2 linked regions of the Canis lupus familiaris genome follow. The protein of the gene in region 2 purifies or fractionates together with the protein of the main gene of each other region. This does not show direct contact. Links are inferred from orthologs where the notes say so. Each region holds a gene or a part of one and is shown on either strand. Other genes may lie near its edges.

What was found.
Region 1: the proteins of MRPS9 (region 2) and HNRNPU purify together in Homo sapiens (co-immunoprecipitation; 3 studies listed by BioGRID and IntAct, with this or other methods). This does not show direct contact. The link is inferred for Canis lupus familiaris from reciprocal best matches to the Homo sapiens genes MRPS9 and HNRNPU.

The regions. Positions count from the first base shown.
Region 1 is NC_049228.1:35,785,250-35,790,050, forward strand, and holds the start of HNRNPU (heterogeneous nuclear ribonucleoprotein U), read right to left. Parts: upstream 3,154-4,801; 5' UTR 2,915-3,153; coding exon 2,224-2,914; intron 1,329-2,223; coding exon 1,217-1,328; intron 1,133-1,216; coding exon 1,059-1,132; intron 1-1,058. UniProt on the Homo sapiens protein: DNA- and RNA-binding protein involved in several cellular processes such as nuclear chromatin organization, telomere-length regulation, transcription, mRNA alternative splicing and stability, Xist-mediated transcriptional silencing and mitotic cell progression.
Region 2 is NC_049231.1:39,408,185-39,412,319, forward strand, and holds part of MRPS9 (28S ribosomal protein S9, mitochondrial), read right to left. Parts: intron 1,300-4,135; coding exon 1,120-1,299; intron 1-1,119.

The DNA.
Region 1 (4,801 bases), on a different chromosome or scaffold from region 2:
CAATGGAACTATTTAAAATAAAACTCTCACATCAAAGATTTTTCCACGTGCAGTTTTCTTTTCTTTTAAAAGATTCCCTTAGCTCAACTACCTGTTAAGGGTATTTAATACGAACTCAAGAGTTAACATTTACATTCTCACAAATCTTGCTAAAAATAATTTGTATTGGAAAACACGGAAATCTAAACTTTAACTCCCTAGATCTATGGGGCAGGTTCACACCTGACCACCTACTTAGCAAGCCATTATTTCTAAGCTCTATTTATCAAAGTGAAAGAGCTGTGCATTCTGATCAAATACTGAACAAAGTATTTTTATGCAAAATTACATATCTGACAGCCAAGGCCCATTTAGAGGTTTGCAATACTTCCTCATACTCAATTGCAACCCAACTGGGTAAAGTAGCAGTATTTACAGCGCTGCCATTGATACCATTCGCTGCTGAAGAAAGCTAGTAGCCCAGTGATAGCCCACTGCTGCTGCCCCAGGTCTTTGGAAGAAATCAACTTATGTTAAAGCAGCAGCTACTGAACTGGAATTGAGAACAAAAGAGCAGTTATTGAAAAAGTAATATTACAATCTTTTAGAATAGGGAATATACTTGTGTGCTAATGGGAAAAAATCATTAATACGTATTTAACTAGCCCAAATAGCTCACTTAATAAAATGCTACCAAAAAAATTAAATTACTTTATCGTAGGAGCCTAAAAGGACAAGTTACAGGTTGTCTTACAAGTTTCCATTAGCTAACTAAACCAAAAATTGCCATTAATTTTACATTCCTATAAATGAGAACTTTCTAATCATATAAAAAATAACACCAAATTGCTGGAGCCTATAAAATTATCAATACGACACAATTGATGCTGTATTAGACATTTAGCTACCAGAATCTGAATAAAACCTTTCGTCTCCCTCCTTTAAAAAAGGTAAACGGTTTACGCTAAGTATTCTGCATTTAAATTCAGCACACTGCGTTTAAGTTCTCTAACATTTTGGCACCAAAATCGCCACATTTAGTAACCGGGGGAGAAAAGGGAAGAAACAGCTTCACTTACAAGTATCAAGACAAACCACTGTGTCATCGAAGTGCTCATCTTCTTCTTCAACAGGTGGCTGAGGAGATTTGGCTCTGAAAGACAGAATTGTCTCCTGATTCAGCTTTTCCTACCCCAGAAAGAACGGGGACGGGTAAAACTAGATCGGCATCCTCTACCTGCTATACTTGTTCTCTTCAATGTACTCAAAATATCCACGGCCATGATCTTCTCGAGGTCTTTTCACCCCTCTCTTTTTATCTCCGCCCTTCTGCTCTGTTTTGCCGTCTCCTATAACACACAACACCCCTAACATAAGGGGCCAAGCCGCGACGCAACCGGGGAAAAAGAAAAAAAAATCCCCCCTCCTGTTTGGGGAACGCAAATACTCCTAACTCCCCCGTTCTTTTCTGCAAGCGATTTCAACCGACGAATCCAACGCGAATTCAAAGAACAATCAGCTTGGAACCGGCCAGGAGCTAGTGACGCAGTCTAAAGACATTCCTAATTTTGCCAGCCTCTTCGAAGATTCGAGAAAGCTCCCGGAGCCCAGGGCGGCCCCGGCCCCGAGCCCACGTGGATCCCGGAGAGAGTTCAGGAAGGGGGGAGGGGCCGCGCCGGCCCGCGCGCCCGCCCCTCCCCTCCTCCCCTCCCCCACCCGGGCCCGCGTTCCCCGCGGCCGCATTGTACTGATCTTCCGCCCCGCTCTCCCCGCCCGGCCCCTCCCGCCGGAAGTGACGTCACGCCGAGCCCCTGCGCTCCTTGCACAATACCGCGGCCCAGCGCCGCCAAAGCGCGCCCGCCCCGGGCCCTCGGGCCTCTCTTCTCCCCTCCCCCCCCCGAGACATGTGCCCGCACCGCGCGCACGCAGCGCAGCGGCGCCACCGCGGGCCGACCGGGCTCCCGCCCGCCGCCCGCGGCTCCTCCCCCTCCAGCGGCAGCTGCAGCTACCACCCCCACCCCCCGGCCCTCCAGCCACATAATGGAGGCGCCGCCGCCGTCGCACACGCCGAGCCCGAGGCCGCCGAGGCCTCGCGGCCGGGCGGGATTCCCCGCGCCCCCTCCCCCCCGCCTCCCCCGCGGCGGCCCCCGCCCCCTCCCCCCCGCGGGGCTCCGGCAGGCCTGGGGCACGGTCCCCACCCCGCGCGGGCCTCCCGCCGCGCGCAACGTACAACGCAGCACTCACCCGCCGCCGGAGCCCCGGGGCGACCGCCGCCTCCGCCGCCTTCCGCCTTCTTCTTACCTCCCGCCTGCTGCTGGCCCTGCCTCGCCCCGGGCGGCGCCACCGTCACCGCGAACAGCGAGGTGGGGCCGCTGCTCTTCCCCGCGGCCTCCTTGGCGGCCCCGCGCTGCTGTGGCGGCTGCTGTTGCGGCGTCGCCGGCGGTTGAGGCTGCTGCTCCCCGTGCCCGTTCTCGTCGCCCGCGCCTTCCTCCTCGTCGCCGAGCTCATCCTCCCCTTCCTGGAAGCCCTGATCGTCGCCGTTCTCGTCCTCCGAGGCGGCCTCCTCCTCCTCCATCGGGCCCGCGTCGGCCGCCCCCGCGGCCCCGTTCTCCTCTCCTAGCTCCATCTGGTCGCCATCCAGGGCGGCGATCCCTTCCTCCTCCTCTTCCTCCTCCTCCTCCTCCTCGTCGCCGCCGGCCGCGGCCTCCTGCTCGAGGCCTGCTCCCGAGCGCCCGGCGGAATCCCCGCCCAGGTCTAGGCTGCCGTTCCCGGGCTCCATGGCGGGGCGGCCCCCGGCCTCCTCGTCGTCCAGCGCGGCCTGGAGGCGCTCCATGAGCTCGGCCTTGAGGCCCTTGTCGGAAAGGCGCCGCTTCTTGAGCTCCTCTTTCAGCTCCGAGACCTTCAGCTTTTTTACATTAACAGGCGAGGAACTCATGGTGAGGGCCCCGATTCACCGCTAGGCGCTGGCTCAAACTCGGCTCCGCTCCCTCGGCCACTGGTGGCGGCTGCTGCGGCTGCTCCTCGGCCCGGGCGGCGGCTGCGGCTGCGGCTAGAGGTGGGTTCGTGCTGCAGAGCGGACCCGCCTGGTGTCGAACGGCGCCAATTCCTTTCACCGAGTTCGCGAGGGAGACGCGGAGACTCGCCTGGCGCGAGCGAGCACGCAACGTCCTCTCGCAGGGGCGGCGCCGCGCACGTAATATAGGCGCCCCGCCCCCTGCGCTGACGGGAGCTCCGCTGCGGGGGGGAGCGCGCCCGCGCCGCGGGGCCCCGCCCCCGCGCCCCGCCCCCGCCCCCGCCCGCCCGCCCGCCCTGCCCTCCCCGCCCCCACGCCCAACCCGCCGAGAGCGCGGCGCCGGCCGCGCAGTGCGCTTCCCGCGGGGCCGAGCTGGGGGAGGAGGGGGGCCGCCTTTCGGTTACAGCGATCCGCCGCAGCCGGGCGGCCTCCCGAGCTGGGTGCTGGCGGCCCTCGCCTCGCTCTCGGCCCCCGGGCGCGGGGCTGCTGCACCCAGAGCCCGGCGGCCCCGGCCCCGGCCCCGGCCCCGGCCCGGCGGCTTCCGCCCGAGCCCTCGGCCTTGCTTCCATCTTGGATGGGCCTGCCTCTTTCTCTCGCTCGCCAGCCCGCTGCTTAAAACGCCTCGAAATCTTATTTCCGTGTTGATGTGTACGGCACGGACGGGCAGGCCCTGCCCGCGGGGGGTGCCTTCCGTCTCGCATTTGGTGGAATGTTCCCAGGCCCTGCCCTGCGCCCTGGATTTTAGGCTCGGGAAGGGCGAGGACAGAGCATCCCTTTTGTCTCTTCCCCAGCCCGGATGGCAGGGCTGGTCCGGCCGCCCCGGGGCGGGAGAGCGGGGCGAGCCTCGGAGGGGCACGTCCGCCCGCCCAGACGGCCCCCCGCGAGCTCACGCCCCCGGATCGTGCCCTCCGCCGCCTCTCCCCCCCCCCCCCCCCGCAGGAACACCCCCCATAAGTCGTGCTGAAGCCAGTAAGAGCTCAGGACGAGTCAAAGGGCCGGGATTTTCTAAGAAAGAAAAAAGAGACAATCGGCTCCCGAAATCTGTTGTGTATTTGGGTGTGTTTTAGAAGTTTGATTTTTCCCTTTTCCCAAATAAAAGGCATGTTAGGTTCTTGAGGTTGCGCACAGGGGGCCAGCACTTAGATACGTGATAGAGGGGCGCATGCGACACCCCCAAGAAAGCCTGCACAGTGACTAGACAACGTCCCACTATCAGAGAGCTCAGTCCTACCCACTGTGTGGTGCTGGAGCTGGAGTAGTGCTGCCCCGAATGTTAACTTGAAACTGGAGCAATACTAGCAGAGGCCAGTATGATTTAACCGTTGAATGCATTTTATTTTTTCAAGTTTCTTCTCCATAGCTTCCAAGAACCATGTGTTTTACCACTCAGTCGTCATAAAGATGAAATACATCTGTGGAATGACAGTTGAAATTAACTAATGGAGTATGTACAGTACTGCTAATTCTCGGTGAAAGTCAGTGGAGGGGGAAGGCACCCAAAATAGGAACTTCCAAATAGTGCCAAAAACTCATTTGGCCTTTGGTTACGATGTCCTTGGAGCTTATAAACAACTCACAAACTGGAGTTTCAAATTCTTTGCAAAGAATGGGAAGAGAGCTACAGGGGCTTACAGGTTCACAAACTGGATAATTAGTCCCTTCATGAATCAAAGTTTAAATGTAGTTATGATGATGCTTCTTTGAGTCTATAAGTGTCCTTAGATAGTTTTACATTTTTAAATATTCGTGTTATGAAAAATATTTCCATTTAATTGAGAATACGTAAACTATGAAAGTTTCTATGTCTAA
Region 2 (4,135 bases):
GCTAAGTGAAACATGTCAGTCACAGAAAAACAAATACCATTTGATTTCACTCATTTGTGGAATTTAGGAAACCAGCTAACAAAAAAACGAGCAAAGGGAAAAAGAGACAAACCAAGAAGCTGACTCTAAACTATAGAGAACACACTGATGGTTCCCGGTGGGGGGGAGGGGTATATGGGGGATATAGGTGACGGGGGATTAAGGAAGGCAGTTGTGATGAGCACTGAGTGTTGTATGAAGTGCTGAATCACTATATTGTATACCCAAAACTAACACAACATTGTACATTAACTATAATGGAATTCAAAATAAAATTTTAAAAAGTTAGAACAAACTTCAAATTGGTTAAATTTTAAGTACCTTTGCTAGCTATGTTGTGATGTCTAGCAAAAAAGTATTATTTATTATTACTACTTTTATCAGGGTCAGAACAACTCAAAAGTGGAACAATAACACAGTTCTAACTCTCTCAAATCATTTAGAACATGCCCTGACTGAAAATTCAAATGTATAGCTAAGATAATAATAAAAAAACACTAAACTCAGGTTTACTTATGGGACTTTCTATAAACTTGACTCTATTTCCATCATCATCTGTTTTACTATTTGTAAGAAAGCTGAGTTTAAAACTACAATAGGATAAATATTTCTACATTGTTCTAAATATTCACATTGGCTCCTAGGACCTTGAATCAAGACAATTATCCATTTCACATTAAAATCTAACACTCACTATGCTTCACAATGCTCCAAATACAGGGTAGCATTTCTCTTTGAAACCTGGGTTCCAACTTGCAATGCAGAGTGGTATTTCTCCTTATTCTTACAGTTTGATTAAAACTGACAGAGCTAGTGATGCCTGGGTGGCACAGTCGATTAAGTGTTGGATTCTTGGTTTTGTCTCAGGTCGTCCATGATCTCAGGGTCATGAGATGGAGGCCTGTATCAGGCTCTGAGCTCAGCACAGAGTCTGCTTACGTTTCTTTTTCCTTCTGCCTCTACCCTTCACTCTCTCCCTCACCTTGGCTAGTGCTCTCTCTCTCTCAAATAAATAAATAAATAAATCATAACAAACAAACTCTACAGCAATTACTTTCCCAACCGAGTAACTGTACTTACGTCAATATCCTCTTGCGTAAAAGTTTCTGGATCTTCTCCCATCATGTTGGCTAAATGTCTCTTTCCTATGTTGAACTCTTCAATCTGCTTTTTAATAAAATCCACTGTGTAAGTTTCACGTCTTAAGGCTGCAACATTTTTCTTTGTTGATACACCTGTGGTGTGCCTTAGCCTTAATATCTAGCAGAAAATATAAATGAAAAGAGAAAAGATTTTAAATTAATGTAATTATTTACATTATATTTACCTTACAATGTAATTAAACTGTGATTAACTTAGATTTTAAATTAAATAATGTAATTATTTACATTTACATTACAATGTAATGTCTTGTAGGCTATTGTCTCTACATAAAACAGGGTGTTCAAACAATTGTTTTTATTATAGTACTCAGTTGGCAAGAGTCTGGAAACAGGTAAAAGGCCTGTTAAGAAAGCTGTTAGGAAAAAAAAAAAAGAAAAAAAGAAAGCTGTTAGAAATCTTCCTCCACTCAAGGGACACCTGGGTGCCTCAGCGGTTGAGTCAGCCTTCGGCTCAGGGCGTGATCTGGGAGTACCAGGATCAAGTCCCACATCGGGCTCCTTGTGTGGAGCCTGCTTCTCCCTCTGCTTGTGTGTCTGCCTCTCTTTCTTCCTGTTGATCATAGAAAAGAAAAAGAAAAGAAAAAGAAAAAGAAAAAGAAAAAGAAAAAGAAAAAGAAAAGAAAAAGAAAAGAAAAAGAAAAAGAAAAAGAAAAAGAAAAAGAAAAAGAAAAAGAAAAAGAAAAGAAAAGAAAAGAAAGAAAAGAAAAAGAAAAGAAAAAGAAAAGAAAAGAAAAGAAAAGAAAAGAAAAAGAAAAGAAAGAAAAGAAAAAGAAAGAAAAGAAAAAGAAAAAGAAAGAAAAAGAAAAAGAAAGAAAAGAAAAAGAAAAAAAAAGAAAAGAAAAAGAAAGAAAAAGAAAAAGAAAAAGAAAGAAAAGAAAAAGAAAAAGAAAAAGAAATCGTCCTCCACTCAAAAGCTAGCTTTTAAAAGCCTCTACTTACACAGTAGTTTAAACTACTAGCATTTCACACAGTTAAACCCAAAATACCTAGAAGTGATATGAAAACATCCTTGTCTAATGCAAATATCCACATTTCATACTGATTGGTCAATGTCAACTACTTGTGATATTTGACACACAGGTAATGAAGAGATGACACTCCCTTTGAAAAGAAGTAAATGCCCTTGCAGACAGACAGCAAGCAGAGGACAAAGGAGAAAAGAGGCATGTACTGCAGAATAGCACACTTAGGCTATAGGTAGTCATCTTGCTTTAGGGTACAAATACAGCTCATCTTTCAAGGCTTTAAAATAACAGTTTAGCTTAGCTTGAGACTATTTTAAGCTGATGCAGTGAAGAAACTGCTTCAGTAAGCACTGACAAGCTTTATCATTAATTTGGTTCAATACACTAACTTACAGAAATAAGGGCTTTCCCATCCTTCTAAATTATCAGTAATGGTATCACTTGCCGCTGTTGAACCTTCTATGCTATAGCACTAGGAATTTCCCCCCAAGGCATAAATAGTTCACCTGCAATAAAAGGTGCTAAGGAACCAGAAAAATGTTTTCAAATGACTATTTAGCCACATTCAGTAGATGGATATAACTAGAATAGATATTCTTGGTCCTGGTTTTTCTCAAAATCTTAATCTGTGGTTCTCGACCATTATCCCAGCCTCAACAATGTTAAGCACTCTTAAGCAATTCAGACCTTAACTATAATTTTTAGTAACTCCCTCACTTACCTCTTCATCAACAAACAAACCTCTCTCGCACATACCACCACCACCATCATCTCTCACTCATCCATTCCCTAACCCTTTGAGAATCAGAGATTCAAATAACTATAATAATTTGTCACTGTAGTTACAATAAAAAGTAAAAGAAAAAATACAGGACAAATATTACAAATATTACAATGCTCTATTAATAGTAAAAATTATGTTCTTAAACTCTCACAAATCAAAATAGTGATAAAATTATTTCTTGCAACTCCTTAATGAGTAAAATAAGGCAATTTAAAATCCCATGAAACTTTATAGTTTATTTTTCCTTGGGGAGCACAAAGGAGTTTCTTCTCTCTTCATATTATTAATCAAGAATCTTAAGATGTTTTTATAAAGATACAGTGTCACTATCAATGAGTAAAAACATGACCCAAACTTGCTTACGTATAGCCTCTTTGTACACTCCTAATCCTGCTCCCTCTCCCCACAGTTAGTGCCAACAGCATCAAATCCTTGTCTCAGGAGTTTTTCCATCTTGTTTTTACTTTTCCCAGGGTTCTGCTTCTGTGTGTGTGTTTCAATGATTTCATGTTTTCTTTGAACACTGGAAGATGTTGCTTCCTGTATTCAAAATGAAGAGAAAATACTGATCTGGATTTGGAGAAAGTAGCTGTCACGCAATAGAGGTGATTTTCCCCAATGTTCCACTGCCAAAAGGATGATTACACTGCTGGTTTTCTAAGTCACGTGACAAAATGTTTTTGTCCATAACCAAAACGATTTGTAATACAGGTGACCCCACTACACTTGCCACCAACCACCAATCACAGCCCTCAGGAGAAATGAGTCTCCCAGTGAATATGAGATTTCCATTCACTGAAGTAATGAGTTCTAAAGGAACAGTAAGATAGGGAGGAAAGTGATGAGTTCAATTTGGGGCATGACAAGTTTGAGATGCTTGATGGGCATCTCCAGAGAGATAGGTGTCCTGGAGGCAGATGGCTCTGTGGGTATGTACACAGGAGAGATCTGAGCTAGAGATGCCGTCTGTTAATAATCAGCAAGGGACATGACATGACACCATCAAAGTAGGGGGAATGGCAGGCATTAGTGTTAGGATAAGAAACATCTATTTTACTATGCAAAGAAACAACATAGTTTGTGAGGGAAAAAGACGGAAAGGTAAGATTACTTATGTGTTATGGCCATTATTTTTATGAAACAGGACATGAGATGGGTCTGCAGAGTAAGAGGTGACAGGTTTG